Linked DNA regions of Ovis aries. The protein of the gene in region 2 interacts with the protein of the main gene of each other region in a pairwise test. Links are inferred from orthologs where the notes say so. Each region holds a gene or a part of one and is shown on either strand. Other genes may lie near its edges.

Evidence for each region.
Region 1: the proteins of PEX6 (region 2) and PEX26 come close enough for resonance energy transfer, tested with the Homo sapiens proteins (2 studies listed by BioGRID). The link is inferred for Ovis aries from reciprocal best matches to the Homo sapiens genes PEX6 and PEX26.

Annotation. Positions count from the first base shown.
Region 1 is NC_056056.1:215,182,979-215,197,821, reverse strand, and holds the start of PEX26 (peroxisome assembly protein 26), read right to left. Parts: upstream 8,159-14,843; 5' UTR 7,894-8,158; coding exon 7,679-7,893; intron 6,708-7,678; coding exon 6,567-6,707; intron 5,848-6,566; coding exon 5,552-5,847; intron 3,888-5,551; coding exon 3,741-3,887; intron 190-3,740; coding exon 86-189; 3' UTR 1-85. UniProt on the Homo sapiens protein: Peroxisomal docking factor that anchors PEX1 and PEX6 to peroxisome membranes. PEX26 is therefore required for the formation of the PEX1-PEX6 AAA ATPase complex, a complex that mediates the extraction of the PEX5 receptor from peroxisomal membrane.
Region 2 is NC_056073.1:16,612,981-16,627,856, forward strand, and holds the start of PEX6 (peroxisome biogenesis factor 6), read right to left. Parts: upstream 8,428-14,876; 5' UTR 8,362-8,427; coding exon 7,480-8,361; intron 5,815-7,479; coding exon 5,651-5,814; intron 5,192-5,650; coding exon 5,108-5,191; intron 897-5,107; coding exon 794-896; intron 528-793; coding exon 394-527; intron 1-393. Other genes in the region: PPP2R5D (serine/threonine-protein phosphatase 2A 56 kDa regulatory subunit delta isoform), read left to right, coding at 12,454-12,480. UniProt on the Homo sapiens protein: Component of the PEX1-PEX6 AAA ATPase complex, a protein dislocase complex that mediates the ATP-dependent extraction of the PEX5 receptor from peroxisomal membranes, an essential step for PEX5 recycling.

The DNA.
Region 1 (14,843 bases), on a different chromosome or scaffold from region 2:
CAGGAAACAGGCTGCCAAGGACGAGCGACTCTGCTCCTCCGGCAGGCTTCAGGTGCAGGGGTTTGAGGCGAGCAGGGAAGACCACTCAGTGCTGGATGGGAAGCCGGCAGAGAGGAGGAGACACAGCCTCGCGGATCCGCTGGAAGATCTGAGCCAGCTTGTAGAGGAAGGGCAGGGAGCGCGGAGACGCTGCAGGGAGAGGCCAGTCAGTGCCCGCCCTACCCCTCCTGCCCCCCACGCGGCCACTCCTCCCCCCAAAACCATCCCACCTGGGGAGTGACCATGCCACTGCCCCTCCTCCTCTCCCAACAGGAGAGAACTTCCCTTTCTCCAGAATATAATCTCTGGGTTGTATTTTCTTTATGTGGATGAGAGAAAACTTCAGTTTGCTGAGAAAAAGATCCAAATTTATTATGTTTTAATCTAACTTTTTAATACTAAAAAGCTGGTAATGATGGCTGCCTATATGTAAATGAATTTGGGAAGAGACTTTTCACTGCATTCCTCTTTGTACCTTTCAAGTTTGAAGCCAAGCCACAATAGTACCTCTTTTTATCATAAGTTAATTATATTAACAATAAAAGTAAAAATAGCCTCTTTTGAATGAGAGCTGAGCTGGCTTTGGCTGGTTTTTCTTTATTTGAATTACTGATTTTTTAACAGACTTTCTTCCTTCTTTAAAAGAAGTATGTTACTTTTAAGAAAGCTATTCCAGTCCACCTTCTTCATGTCCTGCTGGGCAGGTTCTAATTGCAGCCAGCCCGGGCTCTCACCAACCTGCATGGACTGTCCTGAGTGCTCCTGGAACAGCCCTTTGCCATCCCTACTCAGAAGACCAGGGTTCTGAGACTGAAGGACTCCTAAGAACCACAAAAATCTTTCTAATTTTTACTAAGTCTCTGGAATAAAGTAAAAGGTCAGAGGGTGGACAGGACTGAACACAAACTCCTCAGCTTTCCAAAGGGCTAACCAGTGACTCTCTCCTCAAGCAAACGGAGCTGTTCAGAGGGATCTCCTGCTTGGTACCAGCCATGGGGTCAAAGGCACAAGCTGAGCTGTGCAGAAACAGCCCCCGGACAAGAAAAAGGGAAGTGGGGATGCAGCAGGATTTGGGGATAAAGGAAGAGCAGCAGACAGAACGTCTGCGTGACCCTGGAGCAGTCACTTCTCTCTGGGTCTTAGGTTTCCCAACCGAAAAAGAAAACCAAAGTGAAGGGATTGAATGAAGGGTTTCCAGTTCTCCTTTCAGTTTTGAAAGTTATGCAACCCTAAGTCTAAATTCATGAGAAGAGGTTAGGTTATAACTCACACAAAGCCACACACAGAAAAGTTCATGAGTGAGCTCCTAACCTCTGGCCCAGTGCTCACAAGGTCTGAGGAATTCACCCTCGGGAAAGAGCACAGTAGAAAACAGCAAGAAATCATCAAAATGTTCAGAGGTATCACCTCATACTGGTCAGAATGGCCACCATCAAAAGTGAAAGTGAAGTCACTCAGTCGTATCCAACTCTTTGCGACCCCATTGACTGTAGCCTGCCAGGCTCCTCTGTCCATGGGATTTTCCAGGCAAGAATACTGGAGCGGGCTGGGCTGCCATTTCCTTCTCCAGGGGATCTTTCCAACCCAGGGATCAAACCAGGGTCTCCCGCACTGTAGATAGACGCTTTTACCATCTGAGCCACCAGGGAAGTCCCCCCTCCCCGCCCCCCGCCAAAAAAAAAAAAGTCTACAAGCAATAAATGTTGAAGAGGGTGTGGAGAAAAGGGAGCCCTCCCACACTGTTGGTGGGAATGCAAATTGGTGCAGCCATTATAGAGAACAGTATCGAGGTTCCTTAAAACTAAATACAGCTAGCATGTGACCCAGCAACCCCACTACTGGGCATATATCCAGAAATAAACATAATTCAAAATACACGTGCACCCCAATGTTCACAGCAGCACTGTTTACAACAGCCAGGACATGGAAGCAACCTAGAGATCCTTTGAGAGAGGAGTGGACAAAGACGCAGTACACACACAGTGGACTATTACTCAGTCATAAAAGGGACAAACGAAATTTGTAGAGACATGGATGAACCGAGCGGGTGTCACAGAGTGAAGTTAAGTCAGAAAGAGAAAAACAAGTGTCGTATATTAACACATATATTGTGCAATCTAGAGAAGTGGTATAGATGACCTTATTTGCAAAGCAAAACTAGAGACACAGACGTAGGAAACAAATGCATGGGTGCCACGGTGGAAGGCGGGAGGGAGCTGGGAGAATGGGATTGGCATACATATACTATCAATACCATGTGCAGAATCAAAGCTGGGCAGCACGGGGAGCTCTACTCGGCGCCCCAGTGGCCTGAATGGGAGGGGGGCCAAAGGGAGGGGGTATGTACACACACAGCTGACTCACTGTGCTGTGCATCAGCAGCTAACACAACGCTGGAAAGCAACTGCGCTGCAATAAAGATTAATCACACAAAGAAACAGCAAGGAATCACTGAACTGTTCAAAAACAGGGCACTGTAAAATCAGTTATGGAAGTTACTGAAAGCTGGAATATTATTTAGTCGTGTAAAGTTTTAAAACCTTTTTTTTTTTTTTGGTGGGGGGAGGGCCACAATTCATGGCTTACAGAATCTTATTTCCTTGACCAGGAATCGAACCCAGGCCTACAGCAGTGAAAGCATGGGGTCCTAACAACTAGATTGCCTGGAAATTCCCTAAAGCCATGTTTTAAAGAATGCTTATAGGGGGATGAGGAACTGGAAGAAGACTGTCAAAAAGTCCTTTTAGTTATAAGATAAATAAGTATTAGGGATGTAATGTACAACATGATGAATATAATTAACACTGCTGTATGTTACATACCAAAGTTAAGAAAGTCCTAAGAGCTTCTCATCACAAGGAAAAAAATTTATTTTTCTATTTAAAAAATTTTTTATCTACATGAGAGGATAAATGTTCACTGTACATACTGTGGGAATCATTTCATGATGTATGTAAGTCAAATCATTATGCTCTACAACTTAAAGTGATGAACGTCAATTATATCTCAATAAAACTAGAAGAAAAAAAAGAATATTTAACAACAAGCAAAACTGCATCTACATCCAGAAAAAGACTAACGATTACAGCAGCTGACTGAAGAGTGATTTGTTTTCTCCTTTATACTTTTCTCTATTTTCCATATTCTCTAAAATATATTTTTCCTATTGTAATTGTATTTCTACAATATAATATGTTTTAATTTAATGTAACTTTTTAACACATTATGATGAAGCTTTCTTTTTCCTTTTTTAATTCTGAGGGGACTTCTTGGTGGTCCAGGGGTTGAAAATCTGCCTGCTAGTGTCTGATCTCTGGTCTGGGAAGACCCCACACGCTGCAAGGCAGCTAAGCCCATACACTGCATCTACTGGAGCCCGAATGCTCCACAGCCTGGGTGTGGCACCACAACTGCTGAACAGCCCCTGCTTGCCACAACTAGAGAAAGCCTGCGTGCAGCAACGAAGACCCAGCACAGCCAAAAACAAAATAAACAAACCCTGAGGCTCTACTCAGAGTTCACCCCAGAAGTCCGGAGTCGACAAGGCAGAGAGGACTTTCTCCAGGACTGGTCTCTCCTTCAAGGTGGGCTGGCTCCAGTTTAGGTCCAGTAACAAAACCCCCAGGAGGGCTCCCAGGCCCAGCCCTGGTCAATCGCCCTGTCCTGGGAGGGTGGGTGGGGAGGCAGGTGTCCTCACTCACCTGGATCAAACCTCAACACCAGGAGGCAAAGGAGCAAGGCGGCCAGCAGGCTCTTACTGAAGGGCAGAGAAAAGAAGTGGCTGACTGCAGAGTCCCAGAGCTGGCGCAGCAACGTCAGCAGAGACAGGAACTTGTAGGAGGAGGAGCCTGGTGGGGAGACAAGAGTAGAACTTCAGTAAAGAAGCAGTTTCCCAACTCTGAGCTTTGAGTGTAAGTCGAGCCAAGACTGGTTTCCTCATGCAGTCCACAAAATGGTTGGAAGGGAGCTCCCAGGCATCCAGAGATGCCTTCAGCACTGATTATATCAGAACACCAGCTCCATCCAAGAGGACTGTAACGACACCAGACACCACCGCCACAGGAGAGGGCTCTGACATTACCAGACTTCAGCTCCACAGGAGAGGGCTCTGATGTCACCAGACACCAGCTCCAGAGGAGAGGGCTCTGACATCACCAGACACCAGCTCCACAGGAGAGGGCTCTGACGTCACCAGACACCAGCTCCACAGGAGAGGACTCTGACATCACCAGACACCAGCTCCAGAGGAGACGACTCTGATGTCACCAGACACCAGCTCCATGGGAGAGGGCTGACATCACCAGACGCCAGCTCCACAGGTGAGGGCTCTGATGTCACCAGACACCAGTCCCACAGGAGAGGACTCCGACGTCACCAGACACCAGCTCCATCCGAGAGGACTGTGACATCACCAGACACCACCTCTGTAGGAGAGGATTCTGACATCACCAGACACCAGCTCCACGGGAGAGGGCTCTGACATCACCAGACACTAGCCTCATGGGAGAGAACTGTGATGTCACCAGACACTTGTTCCACAGGAGAGAACTCTGATGTCACCAGACACCAGCTCCACAGGAGAGGGCTCTGACGTCACCAGTCACCACCTCAGTAGAAAAGGACTCTGACATCACCACACCAGCTCTGTAGGACAGGACTTCAACAGAAATGTCAACTTAGCTGGGGAACCTGGTACATCTGGTGTTTCTTTAACAGCTTCACAGTATTCTTCATATTCTGGCCTAAGATATACGCACAGTTACATAGCAATAATTCCTGATGATCAGTAAAGGCAGAAAACAAAGGGCACCTCACAGGCACAGTGAAGAATCCCACCTTGGACTGAGCACAAACATGAACGACACCGCCAAGCCCTGAAGACACCCTGGACTCGCCAGCCGAGCGCCTCCTCCCCGGCACTGGACAGGCAGAGGGTCGGTGGAGTTACATGGCGTCCCTGAAGCCAACAACCTCCTGCAAAGACGTGACCCTGCCCCAGCAGGTCCCTGCTCTCAAGCACACGAAGAAAACACCTCAGAGGCAGGATCAGTCTCCTGAGGGCTGAAGGTCCTCCGTGTATGCCTATTCTATGTGTCACGAACAGAGAAAACAAAGATCAGGGGGTTAAAAACTACCAGGAGGAAAACTGCAACTCAGCATCAGGAAGAACCTCCCCACACAACCCTCCACAGCTGAAAGGCACTGCTTCAGGAGACGGTGAAGTAACATCCCGGCCAGGCCAGCACAGTGGCGGCAGGTCTACTGACAGGAGCCCAGGGAGGAGATGACTTTCAGGAGACAAAAGTAAGGCTCTGAGACCTGCACCACCTGCCTCCCAAAGCCAACTGCAGAGGGGCTGGGCTTTCGAAGCACCTCAACAGATTTCTTATCCCGCAATCTGGAAGTTACTCAAAGCATTGTTCCCAAGGCCCAGGAAGGTCATGATGGACCCCACGTCCAGGAGGAAGCCCTCAGCTTCTGCACAGAGGGCTGCAGAAGGACAATGTCCCACCTTCCTGGCTTAGTGTCCGCGTCTCCTCAGAGCCAGAGTGCACATGTGTCTGCTGCTGCCTCGCTGCACTCACGGCCTGAAGCGCGTCCAGCCGCTGTTTCTCGCCGAAGGCTGCAGAGCCCACCACCAGCTCTTCAGCCTCTGACAGGAGGCCCAGAGGAAGTAGCACTCGCTGCAGGTGAAGTTCTGCTAAGGATCTATACTCTGGAAGGCCCTGGTTGTCAGGGTCTTGAAGCCAAGCACGGACTCCATCCAGCACGGCTCCAGGCTCTTGCATTTTGCTGTATAAAAGAACGCTGCAGCCCCAAATAATCCAATCCCAGAAAAAGAGTGGTCAATGCTTCACGGTTTAACTTCTCATAACCACTAAACTCCTCCTACCCAGCCCCTCCTTTGTGCCCTCAAGTCCTTCCCTAAGGGACACTGACACGGTAAGAATCAGGAGTTCTTAGAAGCAGCAAGCAACTCTCAGCTCTGGCACCCCCCACTTCTGTCACCCCACTTCATGTCTCCCATCCCTTCCTCTTTTCCCTATCCCACTCCTAAATTCCTTCTTCTTCATCTTTTCATGCATATGTTTTGAGTCTGGAGGGCGCCAGGGGGACAGGGGATGGGGGAAAGGGAAAGAATTAGATTTAAAGGGAATGGTATGGAAAGAAAAAGAGGAGATATGAGAACTGAAGGGGTGTGCTGTGCTTAGTCGCTCAGCCATGTCGGACTCTGTGTGACCTCATGGACTGTAGCCCGCCAGGCTCCTCTGTCCATGGGGATTCTCCAAGCAAGAACACTGGAGTGGGTGGCCATGCCCTCCTCCAGGGGATCTTCCCAATCCAGGGATCAAACCCAGGTCTCGCGCATTGCAGGCAGATTCTTTACTGTCTGAGCCACCAGGTGAGCTGAAGAATACTGGAGTGAGTTGCCTATCCCTTCTCCAGCGGATCTTCCCGACCCAGGGGAAAACCCTCTTGCTCCTGCGCTGACTCAGTGGGGAAGCAGTAAGGACCTAAGGACCTACCACAGTTCCAGGACTTTGGGGGGCAGCCTCTCAGGAGCCTGGTAATATTGAAGAACCCAGGACAGGACTTCCCGCCACCGATCCATTTCTGCCAGGGCCTGGATGCCCACAACACACAGAGAGCATTTCACCTCCAAGGAGCTGTCAGCAAAAAAGCCAATTTGAGTTCAGAAGTGGTTCCCCTGCACTGCCATTCCCACCTTTAGCCTGGGACTGTTCTTTACCAGCTCCCAAGTCAGTAACCATTACCTCTCACCTCCCCCCATCCCCAGTATTCAAGAGGGCCTCACAATTATGACCCCTCTCATGAGCCCCAGCAAGAGAAAACTGCTCTTTGCCCAGGAGCTAAACGTTTCTATAAATCTAAAGGCCAATCAGCTGCTGACCAGCACATGTCTCTGTATCCAGGTAAAGTCAGGGTTAACCAACAGGAAGCGTTCATTTACTCCCAAGGGGAAAAGAACAGCTGCAGTACAGATGTGGGTGGAAAGAGGACCAGCCCTAAGAGTTCGCTTAGTGAAGAAAGGGCAGAAGCAGTCTCCGCCAGAGCGCAGCATCAGAATCACACCCTCAGCCTTTATAGCACTCAGTCTTCACCGACCCCCAAACACTCAGCGAAGGCTCCCCAGTTCATCCTTCTCTGGGGCCAGCTTTGACCAGTCTACCCACGCCCTCCCTAGTGCGACCTAATCCAATGAGCAACGCAGGACCAAGATTTCAATTCTTTGATCCAGTCCTACAAGAGGACCGGAACACGACTCCTGCTCTGAACCCCAACCCGAGGAGTGAGGGGGACTACTTCGGGGAGGGGTGGAAGGAGAGGACGTCTGCCACCAGCTTACTGCAGTAATTTAACACATCAATTCTATCTTCCCATTAGACCACTCTACCCTGGTATAGGGAGAAAGAATTGATCGTGGGGTCCCACTAAACCCCGTTCACGTCTTGACGGTTTCCTCCCCGGAGAACCAGCACAAGGTGAGTCCCTGCCTCGCGGAAAAGCATCGCGAGGAAAACAAGGCATAAGGATCACACAAGCAACCACACTGCCGGAGTGCTGGCGTTTGGAGGCCTCCCACTGTCCCCGGAGGCGAACCGAGCCCCTGACGTACGCGCCCGCCGGCTCCTCCGCCAGGCCCTGCCAGGCGCGTTCGCAGGTGCGCAGCGCCGCGCCGAAGTCCAGGTGCACCACCAGGAGGTCGGCCGCCTCCTCCAGCAGAAGCGCGGCCGCCGAAGGGGCCGGGACGGCACGCACCGGCTCGCTGCTCCGCAGGGCGCCCCCGAGCGCCCTCAGCGGGGCTGCGGAGGTCGCGGGGTCACTCTTCATGAGTGCGCGCCAGGACGCAGCCCTCTAGGGGCGCGGGGTGTGCGGTGCAGTCTGGGGAGGAGGAAGGGGTGGTCCTCACAGGCTGCTCTGGCACGGGACAGCCTGGCGCCCTCGGATTTGTGCAGCACTGAGTCCCTGGGCACCCGGTCCCACGACAAGGACTGGGACCCCGGCTGGAGTATGGCCGCCCGTGGTCTCAGGTGCAGGGCCGCCGCCGCGGGGTCGGGGACACAGGGGCCGACATCTTGCCTGCGCGCGCAGGCCCGGCCGACGCTCGGTGCCCGGAGGCGCAGGGCATTCTGGGAGGTGTAGTTCCGCTCCTGGAGCTGTCGTCCTCCCGGGCAGGCGAGGGACTTCGGACTACAAGCCCCGGCAGGCCGTGCCCCGGAAGTTGTTGCGGCGAGAGGAAGCTCGCCGACGGAAGGCGTGGACCCGGGTACGAGTGGAGGCGTGGGCCTCCGGCACCTGCGCCCCAGGTCTCCAGGATGCAGCCCCGTCAGCGGCCAGTAAAGGCAGTCCGTGTGCCGCCTCCGTCGGACCCCCGTCGTGCTCACGGTCAGTCCACAGTGGGACTCCAAACCTCTTGCCAAATAGAGATCTCGTGAAAAACAGCCGTACGGTGTGTGATGCAGTTTGCAATAAAGCCCTGGCACAGAGCACGTATTCCTTACGTTATGGCTGTAATAGTAATTATTAAGTGGTTGTACGCAGACACAAGTTACGTTTATTACTGTGCTTCACTCAGGGTTTTCGGGGCTTCTTAAGTTTGTACTAAACCCTAGGTTTCCCAGTTCCTATCCTGAGGGCTCCTGAAGCGACTCCTCTTTGATTACACGAGTCAGGCCAGGCGCAAAGTCAGCACCTGATCGCGCCAGCGTCGCCTTCTCTGGTCACCAGCCTGGGCCCTCATCTCTACATAAAGTCCTCCCTGAAGGCTGAGGCAGAAGCATCAGATCCGTCAGACTCTGCGGATGAGGAGTATGGAGCCATAACCATATAAGGCCATAAAGCCAGGCCTTCACTCACTCCGCATATACCTAGCACCCTGTAAGTGCCAGGCCTTCTTCTAAAGGCTGAAGATACCACGTGAACACAGGAGACAAATATCTGCCTCTGTGGAGCTTCCATATAGTGAAAGGAAGCAAAATTAAAAATAAGTAGTATGTCAGATGGTGATAAATACTAAGGACAAATAAACAAAATAGAGAGGAGAACTTGAGAGTGACAACGCTGATGACACCTAACTTTGTTTTCTAATGGTAAATCCGGGGCTGGAGAAGAGCAGAGAGAACCTGGCCCTGTGCTCAGACTGGCCTCTGTTGGTGGGTTCACTGCCCTTGGGACCAACATGTACTTAGTGTCTGCCCTAAATCCCTCTTCATCTCCAGGCAGTATTTGTTCCCATGTAGCAAAATCCAGAGGCAAGCAGGTTTCTGGGAGGTGTGGATCGGTTCAAGGCTGAAGTTACCAGGATGTGTTATCAGTTATGCCTGGGGTCTCACAGCAGATAATGAAGATCAGTAGAAATAACATAATTATTGGACTTAAAACAACCAACCAAACAAACAAAAAAAAACCTGTTTCTTAGAGCTGGTTTTAGACGTCATTCCTGTAAAATCAGGGAAGCAGTAGTAGCATCAGGAAACAGATGTGATCAGGCCTGGGCGAGTTGGGACTAGCACAGTCAAGCCTTGGCCTCAGGAGTGCCTCCTGAAAAAGGTCCTTTTCTTAATCCCTAAGGAGAAGGCTCTTGCTATGCCCAGGCATCTCCAGGAGACGGCAGCACAGCCTTAAAAGAAGCTGACCTGCCAGCAGGTAGGTCTGTGGCTGCCAGAATGAGGTCAAGATATTTAAGGAAGTGGAAGCTTGCAAAAAATAATATAAAAATAGGATTGTGTTCTGTTTCCGTGTTTCATCCGATCTTTGTGCGGGGCCGCACAGTGGTCTTTCATCACATAACTTTAGCACTGCTATGCCCGCCAACCGATCCCTGAACACCAGCTCGGTGATACTCCCTAGCTCCATCTGAATGTATCCAGAACTTCTCAAGCTAAGATACAGCAATCCTAATTTATTCCACCTGAATTAGAGTGAACAGATGTCTTAACGACTTGGGGCTCATGAGTCAAGAGCTTTGAAAGCACCTCAGGACTTCACAGGTGGCCCAGTGGTTAAGAATCCACCTGTCCATGTAGGAGATGTGGATTCAATTCCCAGTCTGGGAAGATTCCATACACTGCGGAGCGGCTAAGCCCAGTGGCCCAGTCTCCACAACCACTGAGCCCACATGCTGCAACTGCTGCAGCCTATGCACCCTAGACCCAGTGCTCTGCAACAAACACCCAGGGCAGCCATAAATAAGCAAATAAATGTATTTTAAAATAAGCAAACCACCTAGCCTCCCCTAGGGATAAAAGCAGAAACAAGGCAGTTCTCTCAATCTGTAAGGCCTGAGTCATGTCAATATTTGTATCAGTGGAATCGTTTCGGGAAAACTAGTAGAGTAAGTGAGACACAAAACTCACACGATATCCATCCCCCAGCCCACCCAAGCCCTGGGACCTGCTGCTCCCCCTTCTGCTTGTAGGGTGCTCAGTGTATCTTGCCTGAGCAGGGTCCTGAGGGTGTCGATTTGCTCTTTGCTCATCTGCTCTGAGCAGGTGATGAGTCTGTGTTTCTGTAGCAGAAAGTGCTCCAGTCTAGGAGATGAGCTATGCCATCTAGAATCCTGGGGACCTCTGCAAAGTCAGATGAGTCCTCTGAGCTTCAGTTTTCTCATTTGAGGACATTGACACCAACACTTGCCGTGTGGGGTGGTTGTGAGGATCAGAAGAGGTCATATGACAGCGCCAAGAATGCTTTAAATCACTGGAATAGTTCAGGCCAAACAAGGTGAGATGATACACTGGGAGGTGAGTAAGGAGGAGAAAGAATCCAGTTCCTCCTCAGAGTTCTGTAATCTTAACTTTCTGACATGGAATCTGACTCTTGACTCTTCCTTACAAAGGTCAGATGCCAACCTCTGGAGCCAGCCCAGCCTGTCTGCCCTTTCCAAGCTGGCTCTATACTTAGTGACAAGAGACTGCATCCACACAGCTGCCCCTCTGGGCTTATCTCTTCCAGTCGGAGACCCTCAGTACAGGGACGTCAGTGGTATGGCTCTGCAGGCAGTAGAATCACGCCTGGTGTGGACTTTGGCCAGAAGCAAGCCGAAGAGATAAATATTGGCAGGGCGGAGGTGATGTTTTTCCAGGGTGGTCAAGGGCTCCAGACCTTCGTCAGTGAGATGGCATTTTTATGGCTCCTTTTTTTAAAGCCTGGACTTGGAGTTCAGGGCAGAACTGAACTGAACCGGCTCCTCCCCTCCATGTAGACGCAGCAGAGCCCTCCCTCTGCCTCTGCGTCCAAGGCCTGTTCCTTGTCCTCCTCCTTGTCCCGTGCAGCACTTACAACATAGTAACAGTGGCTCAGAGAACCAGGTGCTGCTCCAGGTACTGTACGTCCAGCTCCTCTTAATCACCAGCAACCCTGGGACAAGAGTCCTGCTGTTACCTCCACGTTGCAGATGAAGAGGCCAAGGCAACAGGTAGTCACACAGGAGTGCAGAGCGGGGCTGGGACTTTAACAGGGCAGTGTGGCTCAAGCCTTTCTTGTAAGCTGATAATTCTGACTGTACAAGGCGCTCTCACTCATCCTGTGCGAACTTGATGACAAAACTGAGCAAAACAACACAGATATGTTAGTGTTCCTAATGGTAGATGGGAAAGTAAAGCTCAGAAACTGTCTGAGTTCAGAATTCATGGTTTCAGTGACAAAGCTGGAGGAGTCACTGGAGATTTCTCACCAGAGCCCATGCCAGGACATTCTCCAGATGGCCAGAAGTGACTTCTCCTCCTCTGCTCTCAAGGTGACCAGTACCACCCCTACCCTCTGCCCTGGGCAACCTGCCCTCCAATTTCCACATGTTCCCACCCACCCTGGGAGCCAGAGGGTGCACCTGAGAAAATCTTCATGATGCCAGACCAGGCGTGATGTGAAGTGAATAACGGATGCTCCCTGGGTACTGGTCAGCCCTGCTCAGGTGGAAAGATGTTGGGCCCTTCGGAATCTGTCCTGCTTCCACGCAATTCAAGCTGATCGCTCCTCTCTTAAAACCCCCCACTGTGCTTTGCTCTTTTCATGCCTCTCTTGTGGGTCCTTCCCAACATCCATTTTTCTTGTAGTTATTTGTGTCATTCCCCTAGTCAACCATGCCCTTCCTGAGGACAGGACAGGAGCCCCCATCTCAGGATCCCTGGGCATCTGGCATGGTGCAAAGTGCTAGGTGTGGGCTACTCCAAGGGACCCACCTGCCCTGAGCTGTTCTGCATCATTTGATCTTGACTTCCAGGTATGCCCACTGGTGAACACTGTGTGAAAGGTTGGAAGCCGAGGAGATCATGTCCCAACGCAGCCCCCGAGAAAAGAGAGACACGTGGTATTTCCAGATCCTGGGACGCCCACCTGCCTTCTTGTCTGTGCTTTCTTCCTTGTTTCCTAGGAAATAATCTAATAAACTCAGTCACCCCAAGTGATAGAATTTCAGGGTTGAACAGGGTCTTATACTGGAGCTGAGCTGAGGCTGGGGAGGGGAAGCGACAGCCACTGTCCCCCAGCTGAAGGCCACAGAACCCCTGACCCATTCCATGCCAGAGAGGAAGGACCTCGCCCTGCCTTAAAATGTTTCCTCACCAGCCCAGCTATTCCCAAGCTTTGGGGTAGGTCGCAGCATCCAGAGCTGCTGTTCATGCCCAGATCCTGGCTAAGAACAGCCACCCCTGTCCCAGGGCTCCCTTCCTCCCCTCCCAGAACAGCTCTGGTTCCCAAAAACCTATGGTTTCCTGTAGCAGGCCAACCCTGGGAGGGGAAAACTGATGGAAGGACCCTCAACATAGTGTAATATTCTAGGAAGTTGTGTATTTATCTGAGATAATGCTGCAATTGTTACCAGTCAATAGATTTTATTTACTAGAGAAATATTCCAAAACAGGATTGATGCAGGGGCAATTAAAGTAGTCTTTGGGGACTTCCCAGGTGGTGCAGTGGATAAGAATCTGCCTGCCAATACAGAGAACACAGGTTCAATCCCGGGTCTGGGAAGATCCCACATGCCACGGAGCAATTAAGCCCAAGAGCCGCAACTACTGAAGCCCACTCGCCCAGAGCCCATGCTTTGCAACAACAGAAACCACTGGATGGTGAACCCACAACAAAGAGCAGTCCATGCACTCCACAACTAAAGAAAGCCCTTGCAAAGCAACAAAGACCCAGGGCAGCCCAAAATTAAATAAAAACAGTTTTTAAAAGTGGTGTCTTGTATTTAAAAGCTTAGGAACCACTGATAGAATCTGTACGTCCCAAGTTATTTGGGGAAGTTATTTTCTTAAATGAAACTTAAGGTCAGCAAGTCCTGATTCAGGTATATGGGTAGTGGGGGAGGAGGAAGATTGGGGAGGGGGGAGGATTTCCAGAAATCATCATTTCACACCTGGCCCAGGTGAGGGCAGTAGAATGGAGAGGGAAGGTGAGAAGCTCAAAGAAGCGCAGGACAGCCTTCTGAGCTCTGGCAACCTCACTCAGTCCTAAAATTGGGTTTCTTACTCAGCCAACCGCAGCAAGTAAAACAAACATTTGCCCAACATTGTCCCATGGGTCTAGGGCCTAAAAGTAATTACTAGAAAATAAACAAGAGGAACTACAGTTGCCCTTTGCATCGGCTTAATTATTCTTCTATTTTTTGGGCTCCAAAATCACTGCAGATGGTGACTGCAGCCATGAAATTAAAAGTCGCTTGTTTCTTGGAAGAAAAGTTATGACCAACCTAGAGAGCAGATTAAAAAGGAGAGACATTACTTTGCCAACAAAGGTCTGTCTAGTCAAAGCTTTGATTTTTCCAGTAGTCATGTATGGATGTGAGAGTTGGACTATAAAGCTGAGTGCTGAAGTACTGATGCTTTTGAACTGTTGGATAAGACTCTTGAGAGTCCCTTGGACAACAAGAAGATCAAACCGGTCAATCCTAAAGGAAATCAGTCCTGAATATTCATTGGAAGAACTGATGCTGAAGCTGAAACTCCAATACACTGGCCATCTGATGGGAAGAGCTGACTCATTAGAAAAGACCCTGATGTTGGGAAAGATTGAAGGCAGGAGGAGAAGGGGACAACAGAGGATGAGATGGTTGGATGGCATCACTGAATCAATGGACATGAGTTTCAACAAGCTCTGGGAGCTGGTCGTGGACAGGGAAACCTGGCGTTCCACCATGGGGTGGCATAGAGCCACCTGAGCTCAAAGATACAAATGAGTGATTGAACTGAACTGAACTCAATCTGATTGTTATATATCTGTTCTTTTAACTGCTTTTGTTAAAATGATACGCACACAGGGGGCCTCCCAGGTGGCTCAGTGGTAAAGAATCTTCCTGCTAATGCAGGAGACGTGGGTTCCATCCCTGATCTGAGATGATCCAACAGGCTGTGGAGTCACGCGGGCATGTCCAACTCTTTGTAACCCCACGTGTTACTGAGTCCAAGCTCACTGTGCTTGCCACATGACAGGCCAATGAATCTGAGAGACAAGGTGTTGAGGCGAGGAAAGGACTTTAGTTGGAAAGCCAGCTGACCAAGAAGATGGTAGGGTAGTGCCTCAAAAATAGCCATCTTGTCAGGGTCTGGTTTGCCAAGTTCTTTTGTAGAGTCAGAGGGAAAGAAACAATGAGGAGCTAGAGTCAGAAGGCAGCATAGAGAGGGAGAGGCGGTGGGAGCATAGAGAGAAATGGTATTCAGTCTTGCAAAACGTCTCCAAGGGAAGGGTCAGCCTTTGGAAAGGGGGGTTCATCTCTTCTATTCACAGGTGGGCAGGGACAAACTCTCTCTCTTTGAGCTGAACAAAGGTACTTTAGTTTACAA
Region 2 (14,876 bases):
GTCTGGATTGTATGGAGGGAATTAGGGAGGGGTCTGTGGCTACACATGGGCCAGTGGTATGAGGACCTTGTCTTTAAGGGCCCAGGTGGTGAAGGGTGGGATGACTAATGGGCTCCCCAAGGGAAGGGAAGCCTCAGAGACAAATGACCCCGGGGGGAGAGTCTCCCTTCACAGCTGACCTTGGAGGGCAGAGGTTACTCCCGAAAAGAAGTCTGGGAATTTGCTTACGGATGGGACATGGGCTAGGGGCCTGGGCCCGGTGGCTGGAGGAAGGCCCACCCAATCCCACCCACCACGGCCAGGGCATCAGACACTGCTTGTCTGGCCTGCTGCTCCTCCGGGGATGCTCCGGGCAGCCTTCTCTCACACCGAGGCTGCAGCCTCCTCACTCACCCTGGCTGGAGGCGAGGCTTCAGGGCGGCACAGAGCTCGGTCACCAAGGCCTCCAGGCCTGGAGGAGACAAGCTGCTCCAGGGAGTGGAGTCCCCTGAAGGAAGCCTTGGAACCAGGCTCAGGGTAGAACCCACCTGTGAAAGGCGGGAGGAAGCTTTAGTTTCTAGAAGTTCTTTTGAATTTACTTTATTGAAGTATGGTTGATTTACAATGTGGTGTTACTTCCCACCATACGGCACAGTGATTCAGTTAAACACGGATAGAAAAGTCTGCATCTACTAATCCCGAACTCCCACTCCATGCCTTCCCCAACTCCTTCCCCCTTGGCAGCCACCAGTCTGTTCTATAGAAGTTCTTTCTGCTCCTTTCCCCAGGTCAACCCCCACCGCCAGGGCCTCACCAAGTACAAGGAGGTATGGGCGGTGTCGGCTAAGTAGGCTCTGGCTTGCCCATCTGGAGCGTCCCCAACTGTTTTCTTCACTTTAAAAAACATCTCTTGCCACCTGCAGGGAAAGAGGCCCAATGAACCCCAGATCCAGAGCTCACATCCACTCCTCCTTCAGGGCAAGGCGCTGTCTCAGTCAGAGGTCCGATGCAGGGACAAACGGAAGAGCAGCGCAAAGAAATGCCCCCAGATGTGGCGGAGGTGCGGAGGAAGCGGGGGACGTGGTGGTGAAGGAGAGCAGGTGGTTTTCCTTCTCTCTCTGACGGGATCATACGCGTTTTAAGACCAGGAGCTGTGCCTGTCCTTGGCACCCCTCATACCAACATCACCTGAGGGTGTGTTTCTCCTGCCTACTCACTCCGATGGGAGAAGACACTGCCGCACCAAGCAGTGACCAGGACCGTCTTCACTAGCTTGAGAACACAGACTCTCCCTCAAATATGCACCCACCAAAAAAAAAAAAATGTACCCACCAAGGCCACCTAAAACCTCAAAAGAAAGAGTCCTTCAGCTCTTCCTCAGTCACCCACAAGATCTAACTGCAAGCAGATTCCTTCATAATGACATTTAGTGATTAATGTTTCTCTATTTTGGCTGTACATTAGAATTATCTGTGAAACTTAAAAAAAAACCCAACATCTCTCACATTCTGTGATTCCATTCAGTAAAGGAGTGGTTGCCAAAAGCTGAGGGAAGGAGGGAATGGGAGTGACTGTTGGTGGGTGGGGGTTTCTTTCTGGGCTGAGGAAAATGTTTTGGAATTAGTGATGTTGATGGTACAACCTTGTGAATATATTAAAAGCCACTGACTTATATACTTTAAAAGTGTGAATTTTATGGTATGTGAATTATATCTGAATTTTACAATTAACATTTTCCTTCCTTTGGGAAAAAAATAAATAAAAAGACTGCAGAGGCTCTAGCCTAACCCTGATTCTGCTCTAATAGGTCTGGGGCGGGGCTCAGGCATTTTTATTTTTTAAAAGCTCCCAGCCATAACCAGGGCTGTGCAGTCACTGGCTAGTCTAAGAATGAGTTAGGCTTACTCAGCCTACCAAGAGGGTGAGGGTAGCAGACAGCAATTACTAGTCCAGTTTTCCAGATACAGAGACGAACTACTCCCGTCTTTAATTCTCAGGCAGCATGGCAATGGCAGAGCCTAGGCCTCATTCAGGTCTAATTGGGGTACAAATTCCTTTGCTTAGTATCCCACAGTCACACAGCTGCTCGCTCTGGCAGCAGAGAGGGGTGGGGGTGGGAACGCCTTCGGGTGGAAGGGGAGGCATACTAGGTTAGGGACTACCACCAGAGGCTGTGAAAGAGCTGGAACATAAGGAAAGCTGTCCCACTGTTTTTTTCTGTTTGTTTGGTCAGCTGCACTGTGCGGTTGGTGGCATTTTAGTTCCCCAACCAAGGATTGAACCCAGCCCTGGCAATGAAAACACTGAGTCTGTACCACTGGACTGCCAGGTAATTCCCTGTCCTACTGCTATTCATTATAAATTAGTGTTGTGTTAGTTGCTCAGGCCTGTCCGACTCATTGGGACCCCATGGACTGTAGCTTGCCAGGCTCCTCTGTCCATGGGATTCTCCAGGCAGCAATACTGGAGTGGGTTGCCATTCCCATCTCCAAGGGATCTTCCCAACCCAGGAATCGAACCCAGGTTTCCCACATTGCAGGCAGATTCTTTACTGTTTGAGCCACCAGGGAAGCCCATAAATAAGTGAAGGGTGAGTCTACAACCTAGACTCTCAATCAAGCTGAACCACCTCAGTCAGATGCATCTAGCAGCCAATGGAATCCAAGGAGGAAGAGCCCTGGGGCAGGGAGACACGCCCACCTCTCCCCCTCACAATTCCCGCTCCTCTCCGCCCCAACTCTCCATCCACGGAGAGTGGATGGGGCCACCTCTTTGAGATTGGCCAGACCTCTGGAACATATCTGGACACTGCTGGGGAACATGGGGTTGCGTTCCTGAGAGCCAGACAGCAGACAGTGGAGCTCGATCCCTGCCCCCGGCCTGGTGTGGGAGGTGGAGCACGGGGAGTACGGACCAGCTGCACCAATGCCAGTGAACTTCCGTGCCAGGGATCAGGGGAACCTCCATCCAGGGAGCCTCTTACCAAGTCCAAGGAGTAGGGGGTACAGCACTCATCTCTGTCCTTGAACCTGTCTGCCCACCTGGCTCTACTTTTCCAAACCTACCCAGAGGTTTCAGAACTACATGCTCAGCACCCAGAGGATGGAGGCAGGCCTCCAAGGGGCTGGTATGGTGGAGGTCCAGGAACAGGACTGGCTTACTGGTCTGTCTCAGGAGGGTCGAGTGCCTGTTTTCCTTTCAAAGTACAAAAAGTGGGCATTCTGCAGCTTTCCTGCAGAGAGCTAGCTCACAGACAGTTGCTCTATTTAAGATGGACTTCCCAGGTGGCAGAGTGGTAAAGAATTTGCCTGCCAAGGCAAGAGATGCAAGAGACATGGGTTCAATCTTTGGGTCAGGAAATCCCCTGGAGCAGGAAATGGCAACCTACTCCAGTATTCTTGCCTGGAAAATTCCATGGACAAAGGAGCCTGGTGGGCTACAGTCCACGGGTCACCAAGAGCCGGACACGACTGAGCATGCACACACACAAGATGGATAACAGAAGTTGGAAGTGATGGAGAGCAGCCGGGCATTCTCCACAAGGCTCCAGTTGTAAATCTGATGGGAAAGCTCAAAGAAGCACCCTGGAGCACCAAATGGAATTACACATGGCACCACAGGCCCCTCCTCTGGGTACCACAGCCCTGAAACTGCAGAGATTGAGCACTGGCCAGAACCAAGCTCTGAATGTTGACCAAAGCTGAATTAGGTACTCCAAACAAGGCACTGCTCTCTTAGCAGAGGACCCAGGCTGGCTCGGCCTGAGACCCTGGGTATGATGGCTCTTGTGCCCAAGTTTCTGCAGGGTGGTCCCACCACCTCACTGGGATTTCCTGCAAAGTTGGGTTAGTGTCTCCTTCTTCTAATAAATCCTTATAGGAAATCCATCTGGGGGTAGGAAGCTATACATTTTCCCCCTTCACATATAGCCAAGCAGTCTCTGAATTCTGAATTTTTTTTGGCTGCGCCATGTGGTATGTAGGATCTTAGTTCTTCCATCAGGGATTGAACCTGCTCCCCCTGCATCGGGAGTGCAGTCTAAACCACAGGAAGTCCTTGCCTTACCATTTCATATGCAGTCTCTGCAGTAAGAATCAACAGGAGGAGGAGAAAGGTTGGCCTCCTTGTTTTAGGTCCCTGGCTCAGTTACGCTCTCTTTCTCACTCTCTGTTGAGGATAAGGAAAGACAGCAGGTTTCTCAAGGGCAATTCCCTTCCTCTCCTGTCTTGGGAGACAACACTGCAAAGCAGCATGTCCACATTCCATCCATTAGAGCAGAAATCATGATGGCACCGGGGCTCCTCTGGCTCAGTGTACGGGAGGTGTGGCCCAAACTGCACTGGTTGAGAATGGAAAGCAGGGCTTCCCTGGTGGCTCAGCGGTAAACAATCCACCTGCCAATGCAGGAGACACGCATCTGATCCCTGGTGAGGGAAGCTGCCATATGCCGTGGAGCAACTAAGCCCGTGTGCCACAACTATTGAGCTCGTGCTCCAGAGCTGGGGAGCCACAACTACTGAAGTCTACATGGCCAGGGCGTGTGCTCTGCAACGAGAAGCCACAGCAATGAGAAGTTAGCGCACCACCTCTTGAGAGTAGCCCCCGCTTTCTGCAACTTGAGAAAAGTCCACACAGTAATGAAGACCCAGCACAGCCAAAAAACAAAATAAACACACAAATAAAAAATTATTTTAAAAAGAATGGAAAGCAGGGGTGACTTCCCTGGAGATTCAGGGGTTAAAACTCTGAGCTTCCACTGCAGGGGCTGTGAGTTCAATTCCTGGTTGGGGGAGTTCCTCATGCCACGAGGTGCAGCCAAAAAAAAAAAAAAAAGAAAGTGAGGAATCCCACCTTGGACTAGGCCATTGAACCATTCTTAGTGCTTTACTATACCTAGGACCACCAATCAATTTGAGGATAAACACCTCCCAAAGCCAGCAGGCAGTGGCTCTTAATTTTCTTTTCAGTCACACGCCTATTTGAGAACATGAGAGTAGGTACCTTCTCTCCCAAAAATCATGCATGACAACAACAAAATGTTCTTATGCACAGAATTATTCCATTCAACTTGAGGACTCCTGCACGCAGGTTAAGAATCCCAGCTGCAGGAGAGGAGGCAGCTCCATACCTGGGCAGTTTCTCTGGGCTTCCTTCCAGGATCTCTACTTGCCCAACTGTTGGCACACACAGGACATCCCCTTCCTGGACTGCCCTGTAACACAGCGGTAGCCCTGGTCAGCTCACAATGGGAGTAAATAGCAGGCGCCTGACGTATCCCCACATGCCCTCAACCTGCAGACTGTTTCTCGGGGGCCTACTGCCCACCCAGAGACCCCAAGCAGTTGTCCAGAGAAGAAGCCTGACCTAGAAAGAGCTTTGGGATACAGCAGAGAGGAGATCAGAGAACAGAGAGAGGGGCAAAGCAGGATCCTGGCTTTTTGGGGGGCCTCCTCAAATCAAAGTGGTTTCTCAATCTAGAATGTCTGGATTTACCCTCCTGGCCCAGATTTCTCTTGACTATCTGACACACCAGGAGGCTTCTAGCCACGTACTGCCTTAAACTGTGGCTTTTTAAAATCAGAGGCTTTCTGGTATCTGAATCTCAGGTCTGGGATAGGAGGAGTTCATTGAGGGTGGTGTGCTACCCTCCTGCAAGGGGGAAGCGGCTAACCTGGGTGTCTGAAAGTGCCGGTAAAGGACATGGTCATAGTTTCCATTAGTGCTGTAGTGAGGAGACGACACAATTTCGATGTGTAACTCTTTGGCAAACAGAGGCCCAGGCAGCACTGAGCAGCTTCCTTTGTCTTCAGGGGTGCTGGAGCCCTCCAAATACCTCTATGAGAGAAATAATCACCACCTTAGAACCTTCTCCCAAGGACTCAGGCTCTGCCCAGTCTCTTAGCAACCAACACTTCTACTTTCACCCTTTATCCTTCCCATAACCACAAGGGTTGTGAGACGGGAGACCTAAGAGAGGAGAGCTGAAGACCTATATCTTCCTTAGAAAACAGAAACCTCTCCTTCTAATGGGCACCCGGAAGAGACTTCTGACTCTGATTTTCCTGACTCTAGCTCCAAAGAGTTCACCAGTGATGATAACCATTCTGTGACACCTTTATACTGGCCCAGAGCCAGTGAAATGGTAAAGACATTTAACTCCCACAAGTCATTTGAGTGACACCACGCAGCCACTGGGAACATTAATTGGACATTAGTGAGGACACTGAATTCAGGCTCCAGGTAAAGGACATGATCACACTGAAGCCGAAAGGGCGGGGTCAGGTGAATGAGCTCCTGTCTGAGTCCAGTATTTTTCCTCCATTTAGAAGGAAAGCCACACCTGACTCCCATTCATGCACATCTTTTCTCTCTTCTTGACATTCCACAGCACTAACTGGCTATGCCAGCATTACCTAATATAACTTTCTACAGTGATAGAAAAATTCTATATTTACATGTGGCTACTGAACGCAACATGTGACTAAAGCAATCAAATAACTGAATTTTTTACTTTACTTACTTTCAGTTGATTTAAAGAACCAGCCAGGGGCTAGCAGCTTTTGTACTGGTCAGTGTAGGCCTAAATCATACATCCAGGTGCTTAATTAAACAGTAGACTATATTTGTCACCCTGAACACAATTATCTTCTGGAAGTAAGTTCCTTAAAAGTAGAAAGCAAAAACTCCTCTTGGATGTATTTAATCTAATATTAAAATTAAACACCAAGCACTAAGGATAATAAAAAGCCCGTCCCTTCAAGGACAAATATACAATTGAGAATTAGAGTACGTGATCATAACAAAACTATAAAATAAAAGCTCTTGGAAAGGTACGAAATGCTATAGGAAAAAGTAATGTTAAATCTGTGGTGTGAGATTTTGCAAGGCTTTAAGAAGCAGGTGGTATCTGTAGAAGGGCCTTGAAGGAGGAGAAGGTTAGCAGAATAGAAGGGAACTTGAAGTCAAGGACAGCATGAGCAAAAGATGGGGGTATGATTTTCCATACTACCCAATACAATACTGGATGTGTGTGTGCGCCTTCTCAGTCATGTCCAACTTCCACCAGGCTCCTCTGTCCATTGGATTTTACAAGCAAGAATACTGGAGTGGGTAGCTATTTCCTCTTCCAAGGGATCTTCCTGACCTAGGGATCAAACTCACACCTCCTGCACTGGCAGGTGGATTTCTGCCTACTTGGGAAGCCCACAATACTGGATACATTGCAACAATTTAGCAAATAACTGACTAGATTTAGTACATTAAGACACATGGTAATTTGGCTGTAATTCTTACCTTTCACCTGAACAGTGAAAGCCCTTCCATGAACCAACATGTTTTAATTGTAGAGAATGGATAAATAAGGCTAAGAGGTGTTAAGGGAAAAGTCCAAGTTCTAAGGAGTAAAGGATCTAAATTTTACAGCTCTCATCTTCCAATTCAGTTAAGGCAAAGAAGAGAAAAAGAGGAGGAAGCATTCCTGATCTCAGTCCTGTATCCTACCTGGATTTTGAGCTCTCCCACGTCCAGGGGATCACAGCCGAGATTAAAAGCCAGAGTGGCAGGCACAAGGGCCAGTCCATCAGCGAGAGGCTCTCCCGGCTGCCCAGAGCCGGGTCCCAGTCTTTCAGAGAGGTTCCAGCGAGGCTCTAGGACTTGGACTGTGGCCAGATGTGGCTGAGAAGTGTTCGATGACTCTCCAGCCCGGGTCACCCACACCCATTCGCCCTGGAAGAGGCCGAGGCTGCGGAGACAGCTCCGGCTCACCCCTAGTGCATCTCCAGTCCCTCCCAGAACGCCCCTTAGTCGCCGGACTGTGCCAGAGGCCGCGAAGGAGGACACCACCGGCGGGAGAGGGAGCCGGCTGCTGTTCTCAGCCTCTGGACCCAGTTTGGCCCGCCCACGGAGCTCAGTCACAGCTAGCCGCGTCCCTGGACCCAGCAACCCTTGCAACGCCGGCCGCGTCTCCAGCACCCGCGGTCCGGGCACGGGCAGGGTCTCTCCGCGCCTCACCAGCAACGGCCCGACTCTCGGTCCGAGTCCGGGCCCAGATGAAGTGCCAAGCAGCGCCCAGCCCAGCGACGGGGGCCGCCGCACCGGCCGCGCCCGCACCCACGCCCCGGAGCCCAGAGCCAGGAGCTGCAGCAGCGCGGGGCTAACCAGCAGCTGCGGGGGCCCCGGACCCTGCTCTTCGGTGTCCGCGCCGGGTCCCTCCAGGGCAGCCACCAGCAGCGCCGGCCCTGCCGGGCTCTCCCCTGCAGGCCTCAGCGCCAGCACTAGGCCCAGCCCTGCAGCAGGCCACGGGCCCCCGGGCGGCAGCAGCACCGCCAAAGGGGGTGTCTCGGTCGGGAAGGGCTCCAGGACTCGCAAGACTGCCAGTGCCATGGTGACAGGAGACCAAAGAGCACAGCGAAGAAGGGCGCCTTCCTGAGCCTGAGAGCTAGACGTCCCGGAGGATCACACGCCGCTTCCGCTTCCGGCAGGGGAGGCCCTAGGGAAGTGGGCGGGGCGGCGGGTGCAAGGGCGTGCTCCAGGAGGGTGAGCTGCGCCTTGGATCGATCTGAAAGGTGCCTCGGTGGCAGTCACACAGTCACTGTGGTCGGGTGGTCCACGCACACCGCCTGTGAGACGTGTGTACAGGGATTTACCTTCCGCGCCCGCCTGGGGAGTAACGTCTGCCAACTAACCTCCCCACGGGCATGTCCTCAACAATTTATTGAATGATCAGTGAACGATCATTGTGCCCTGGACCAAACTTGGCCCACTGCTGGGAGCTGTGGGTATAGTGTTTAGGAAGGTGTCCACTCGTGGAACTATAGGCATTGAGGTTTGGAGGTTTGCGGGAAGGTTGCAGGAGGGAGTGGTAGGGTTATATGTCTCAGACAGGCATTTGGATGTGGAGCAGCTGCTGGCTGAATTACTGCAAATGATTCATGTAGCCCTGTAGTGCTTGGTGCTGCCACACCTGTTCCAACACATTCTACACAAAACCCACGTTCCAGTGTTTCTTGTCCTGCTTATTGTCCTGTTCATTCTATTCCCACCAAACTTGAAACAAACACAAAGCAGCTTCCCTTTCTCATCTCTCCAAAACTAGATGTTCTCTCTCCTCATTCCCTGTAGACTGGAGATCCATTCCCATTTCCACCATAGAGAGGAATGAACAGCAGATGAAGCAGGAGAGAGAGATTCAAGGCTTCAGTCATTGAGTACCAGACCAACAGCTTGTTTCTCATCTGGGCTGTTACTTAACAGTCCTTCCTTGTCCACACCTCCACTGCTCTGTATAGACACCTGAACACTAGCTGGCCACACTCCCAGTTATTAACAGTATACTTGCATTTAGAATCAATGGCTTGGAGGATTCCCTGGCGGTCCAGGGGTTAGGACTGAGTGCTTCCATTGCAGGGGTCACAGGTTTGATCCCTGGCTAGGAAACTAAGATCACACATGCTGCTCAGTGTGACCGAAAACTAAAAAGAATCAATGGATTGGTTGGTGGCAATATCCTCTTTCTGGACCTTGCATTCTCTTTCTTGCCTTCTCTGCCCAACCTTCTCCTTTCCTTCATCTTAAGGCAATCCTCTACTTTGTACATTTTTGCATTCCTGAAAATTTCCTGAAAATCTGGGAGGTTACTATAAGATTTACATATTGTAAGGTATTTCTATCCCTAGAAAGACAAGAAAAAAAATTTAATGTTTGATATAGGACTAGATGTACCTCTAGTCCTAAACCTGAAATTGCCAAGTTATACATCTTTAAAACAGCATGCTTCCCTGATAGCTCAATTGGTAAAGAATCCACCTGCAATGCAGAAGACCCCAGTTTGATTCCTGGGTCGGGAAGATCCGCTGAAGAAGGGACAGGCTACTCATTCAGTATTCTTGGGCTTCCCTTGTGGCTCAGCTGGTAAAGAATCCACCTGCAATGTGGGAGACCTGGGTTCGATCCCTGAGTAGGGAAGATCCTCTGGAGAAGGGAAAGGCTGCCCACTCCGGTATTCTGGTCTGGAGAATTCCATGGACTGTTTAGTCTATGGGGCCGCAAATATTCGGACTAAACTAAGCGACTTTCACTTTCACTTTCAAGAATGTACTAGGTACCTGAATTTACAAGGATGAACGGTCCCATTTCACGGACAGAGGAGCCTGGCAGGCTACAGTTCATGGGGTTGCATAGTCGGACATGACTGAGTGACTAACACTTTCACACTTTCTTAGCGGTTTTCCTGGTAGCTCAGACAGTAAAGAGTCCCTGTAATGCGTGAGACCCAGTTTTGATCCCTGGATCAGGAAGATCCCCTGGAGAAAGGAAATGGCAACCCAGTCCAGTATTCTTGCCTGGAAAATCCCATGGACTGATGGAGCCTGGCAGGCTACAGTCCATGGGGTCGCAAAGTCAGACACAATTGAGCGACTTCACTTTGAAACTGTTACGTGGCTCTGTCCCCAAGACAGAGATCCAAGGACTGAGAGGATGGTGGAGTGATTCCAAAGAGAATATGCCTCCTTTACACAGAATAAGGCCAGCTATGGTGTTCCTTGAGGTCTTGCAAATGGGTAAATATATCTGGTACCCTGCCTGGGTTGGCATCCATATAGATGCAAATATCTATTCACAGATAAACGTGCTTTTCTCATAGGTTTTTCCTTGAGCAAATAATGGTTAGCATGTCGTCCACTCTGCATTATCTTGAAATCATCATTAGTCAATGAAAGTCAAATAATTACTTCTGTAAGACAGCTAGCAGCCTAGATTTTTGGCCTTTACTTCCATACCTCTTGCTCACTCTTTAACCCACTATAACCTTCCTTCCATTCTTCTGAAACTTTCCTGCAAAGATAATCTGTAACCTTTTTAAAAATAATTTTATTTATCTTTGGCTGTGCTGGGTTGTTGCTGTGCAGGTTTTCTCTAGTTGAGGCAAGTAGGGGCTACTCGCTGGTTGAGAGTGTGCAGGCTTATTGAGGTGGCTTCTCTTGCTGCGAGCTGTGGAGCATGAGCTCTAGAGTGTGGGTTTCAGTAGTTGCAGCTCACCGGTGTTAAGAGTGTGGGCTCAGTAGTTGTGGGCTTAGTTGCCCCGTGGCATGTGGAATCTTCTCAGACCAGGGATTGCACTTGTGTCCCCTACATTGGCAGGTGGATTTTTAACCACAGAGAAGCCCTGATGCTATTCGGTCTTTTTTTTTTTTTTTTAATGCTGTTCGATCTTGAGCAACTTTTCTCTAGAATTTGACATTACTGACCAATCCTCTTATACTTCCTTTGTCACTATGACACACAGTTTACTCTCACATCTTCGATGGCTTTCAGAAGTCATCCTGAGCTCTTCCTTTTCCTTTACCACTCTCTTTGCAATCGGATTACTCACCAAATCCTGTTAGTTCTACACGTTTCCCAATGTTGTCATTTCTTCTCCATGCCTATACTGCCCTATAACACTGCTCTCTTGGGCAAGGACCACAGGCTTATTCTTGAGCCTTCCTCAGTGTCTTCATGTAGTCAACTTGCTGCTGGAAGTTGACTTTCTGAAACATTCCTCTAGCCACTTCTCTAGTTTGGTGTAATTTATTACATTGTATCTTAATCATAGGTTTATACAAGGCTGTGAACTCCACCATGCTGTGAACTCCTTGGGGGCAGGAACTGATCTTATCCTTTAGGACACTGGCTTAACCAGAGTAAGGGATATATTTCCCGAGACGCTCAAGAATGAGGTAGCATGTCCACTGCGTTCCCAAATGCTCGTGTCCAGCTGGTTCCCCAACCCTAGGACAGCTGTAGTAGGAATGGGGATCCTATTCCCAAAGCTGGAACAAATCCTGGATTCTCATCTCATTTCACCCCGGTGCCTTCCTGCCAGGCCTCCCCTTTGATCCTCCTCAAGCCTCCTCTAGGAAACAGGCCCTCGAGGACTCCTGGGAGCTCTCTACAATTTTACGTAGGCAATCAGTGTCACGTTACCCTGATGAAGAAAGGTACCCTTCATTTTAAGGCTTCTTTCCTTCAATTCGGACTGGGCGGAGTCGCAGTGGGGAAAGAGTGAGAGCCACTTTAGAGCGGAACGAGCTGCGAAGAATGGCCGAAGACAACGCACACCAGACGCCGAAGTGCGGCACTCGGTGCAAAGCCCGGGCTTCCCTTGACCCCCGCCTCTCACGCTAAGCTCGACCCCCTTTAGGGCGGGACCTCCCACTTCAGCCAATTCTGGGAGTCGAACCCTGGCGGTTTGTACTCTTCCTTTCCAATGAGAAAAAAAAGAAGCCGCTTGCTTCCAGCGACCAATCGGAGGAGGCGGCGCCTGGTTGTCAGGCAGGTTTGTAAGAGTTCGGGCCAATTGGAACACAGACATCGCTCGACCCGGGCGCAGCGCGCAGGCGGTGGCGAAGAGACGCCGAGCGGGCCGAGTGCGGCCGAGCAAAGCCGGAGCCGGAGCGGGGCCGCAGGAGCCGGGCAGGGTCCGGACGGGCCGAGATGCCCTATAAACTGAAGAAGGAGAAGGTGAGCGTGGTCCTTTTCCCCGCGCCTTCGCCTCGGGGGCCTGCGCGGAACTCTGGGAGGGGCCCGAGCCAGGCCCGGGACAGCCCCAGACAGACCCTCCCGTCCGGCCCCCGCAGGACTCCCCGGGGCCAGCCCTCCATCCCCGCTGCTCGTCGCACCCCCAGCCTTTGCCGCAGCTGAGAAAGCTCCCACCCTTGTCCGGGATAGAGTCCGCCCCGCATGCACCTCCCTTCCTCTCCACCGACCCCCGGCCCAGGGTAACCTCCTCCCTCCAGATCCTGCTTCGCTCCCAGGTCACTCTCCTGCTTTTTCTCCCCCCATCACCTCCCCATCCCCCACCCGTTTGCCGTTTGGGACAGGCGCTTATTTGAGACAGCACCTCCCTCCAGAACTAGCCCCCCCTCTTCAGCCCCGCGCAGCCCCTTCTCTACCCTCCTCTTCTCACCCGTCTGGGCCTGGGCCTGGGCCTGCCTTCTCCACCGTCCCTTAGAGCAACCTTCTCCCTCCCCGCCAAGCTCCTTGACCTAGAACAGCTCTCTCTGCTTTTCTCTCTCCTCCACCGAATCTGGCCTAGGCCCCTCCCTCTAGTTCTTCCTTCACACACAAACTTGTAAACCAGGACCGAACCCTTCCTTCTGCTGATGGAACCTTGGAAGTCAAGGTGTCTGAGCGCATTCAGTGCAATCCCTCATGATACAGATGAGGAGACTGAGGCCTCGATCCGGGGGGGCAGGGGAAGGGACTGGGCCAAGGTCACACAGCCTCCTGGAGGCCCATCTGTAATATCAGGTCTCCTGACTTAAAGGCCTCCTCTATACCAAAGCGTTGCTAACAGGCATCACCCCGCTCCCAGGTTCATCCTAAACCAGTCACCTTTCATCATCTGGGCAGGCCCGTCCCCTTATTCCTAATTGAGAATAACCTTTGCATTTTTCCTTTTTTGTACCAGTGTTGGGTTTCTGTCTTTCCAGGGCCATACTATTCTCAAATTGGGAATCTGCCCTCACAGATAGATATAGCTTTTCTTCTTAGCCCACAGGCAAGCCACCCCTGGACACCCTTGCTTTTTGTCTGGTGTCCTGACAGGCCATTTCTTGATGTTACCTTCTTTCACCTTCCTCCTCTACCTCCGAACTGCCTTCCCATCTTCTTCATTCCTGTCTTTTTGTACCCTCTATTTCCTGCTGTTGCTGAGGTCTGACTCAGAGGTGTGGTTCCTTTGAGGTACAGACTCACACAGAAGATGCTAGGATACCAGTTCCAGCCTCCCCCAGCTTCTTCTCTTCCCCGGGGCTGGCCCCTCGCGGTGGGTGCCAGCTCTGGCCTGGTGTTTTCTTTACCCCCTTTATGACCCCAGAGGTGTCTTGTTTTCCTTTGCCCTCTGATTGGCTAGGTTGCTGCTTGTGCCATCTCTGACCTTATCAATTAGACTCCTTATCCTGGGGCCGATGGAGATTTGCCAGGCGGCTCTGATTCTGGATTGTCCCCATAACCTCTCAGGGCCTGAGATTCTGAACGTTGGGTTAGTAATAGTATAGAAGGCACTGTACCTCCTAGGGAGCTGAGCTGGGCAGGTTTGGGTGCCCCACCCAGGCCCCGTGCCCTTGGGAAGCGGACATGCTGAGGTGGTTTGGGCAGCTTAGCTGTAGGTGATACACACACAAGTCAGTCACACCAGGGGCTGAAGGGCTTCTACGAGGAGTGTGGAGAGGGATGAAATTCAGAGGAAGCTGATGAGTTCCTTGCCGATCTTTAGTTTGTTTTTTTAATTTTTACTTTTTAGTCATACTGCCCAGCCTGTGGGATCTTAGTTATCCTATCAGGGATCAAACCTGAGCCTTTTGCACTGGAAGCATGGAGTGTTAACCACTGGACTGCCAGAGACATCCCTGATTTGTAGTTTTTAGTCTGATGGAAGAGATACTGTCTCATCCACAGAAAGCCTTTATCTACTAGAGGACTGAGAAGAAAATTTCTTAAGACTTTCTAGGACCACAGGTGTAAGTGTTTGGTTGGGAAAGAGTATGAGAAGGATCGGGGTGCATGGGGCCAGGCACCTCTGAAAGTAGGCACTTTCTACTTTTGATTTCCAATTGCATTTGGCCTCCTTCTATGGTTGACAAGTCCTGACAGTGTGACTGGGGTTTGCCGAAGTGGGGTGGGGACGGAGAGGAGGAGGGGATGGAGGATCTGTATTGCTCATCTGTGGTTTTTCCCCTTTCTCCTTTATCTCTGCTGGTCCCGTTCTTGGCCAAACCTCATGGCCTCTCTCCTAAAGCCCATTGCAAACCCTTAGATGGGGGTGAGCCCTCCTCCCCTGGATTTGCAGAACACTTGGTAGGTTACTTAGGGCCTTTTTGTGTTCCCTTGGACTGGAACTGTGGACATGTCTTTTC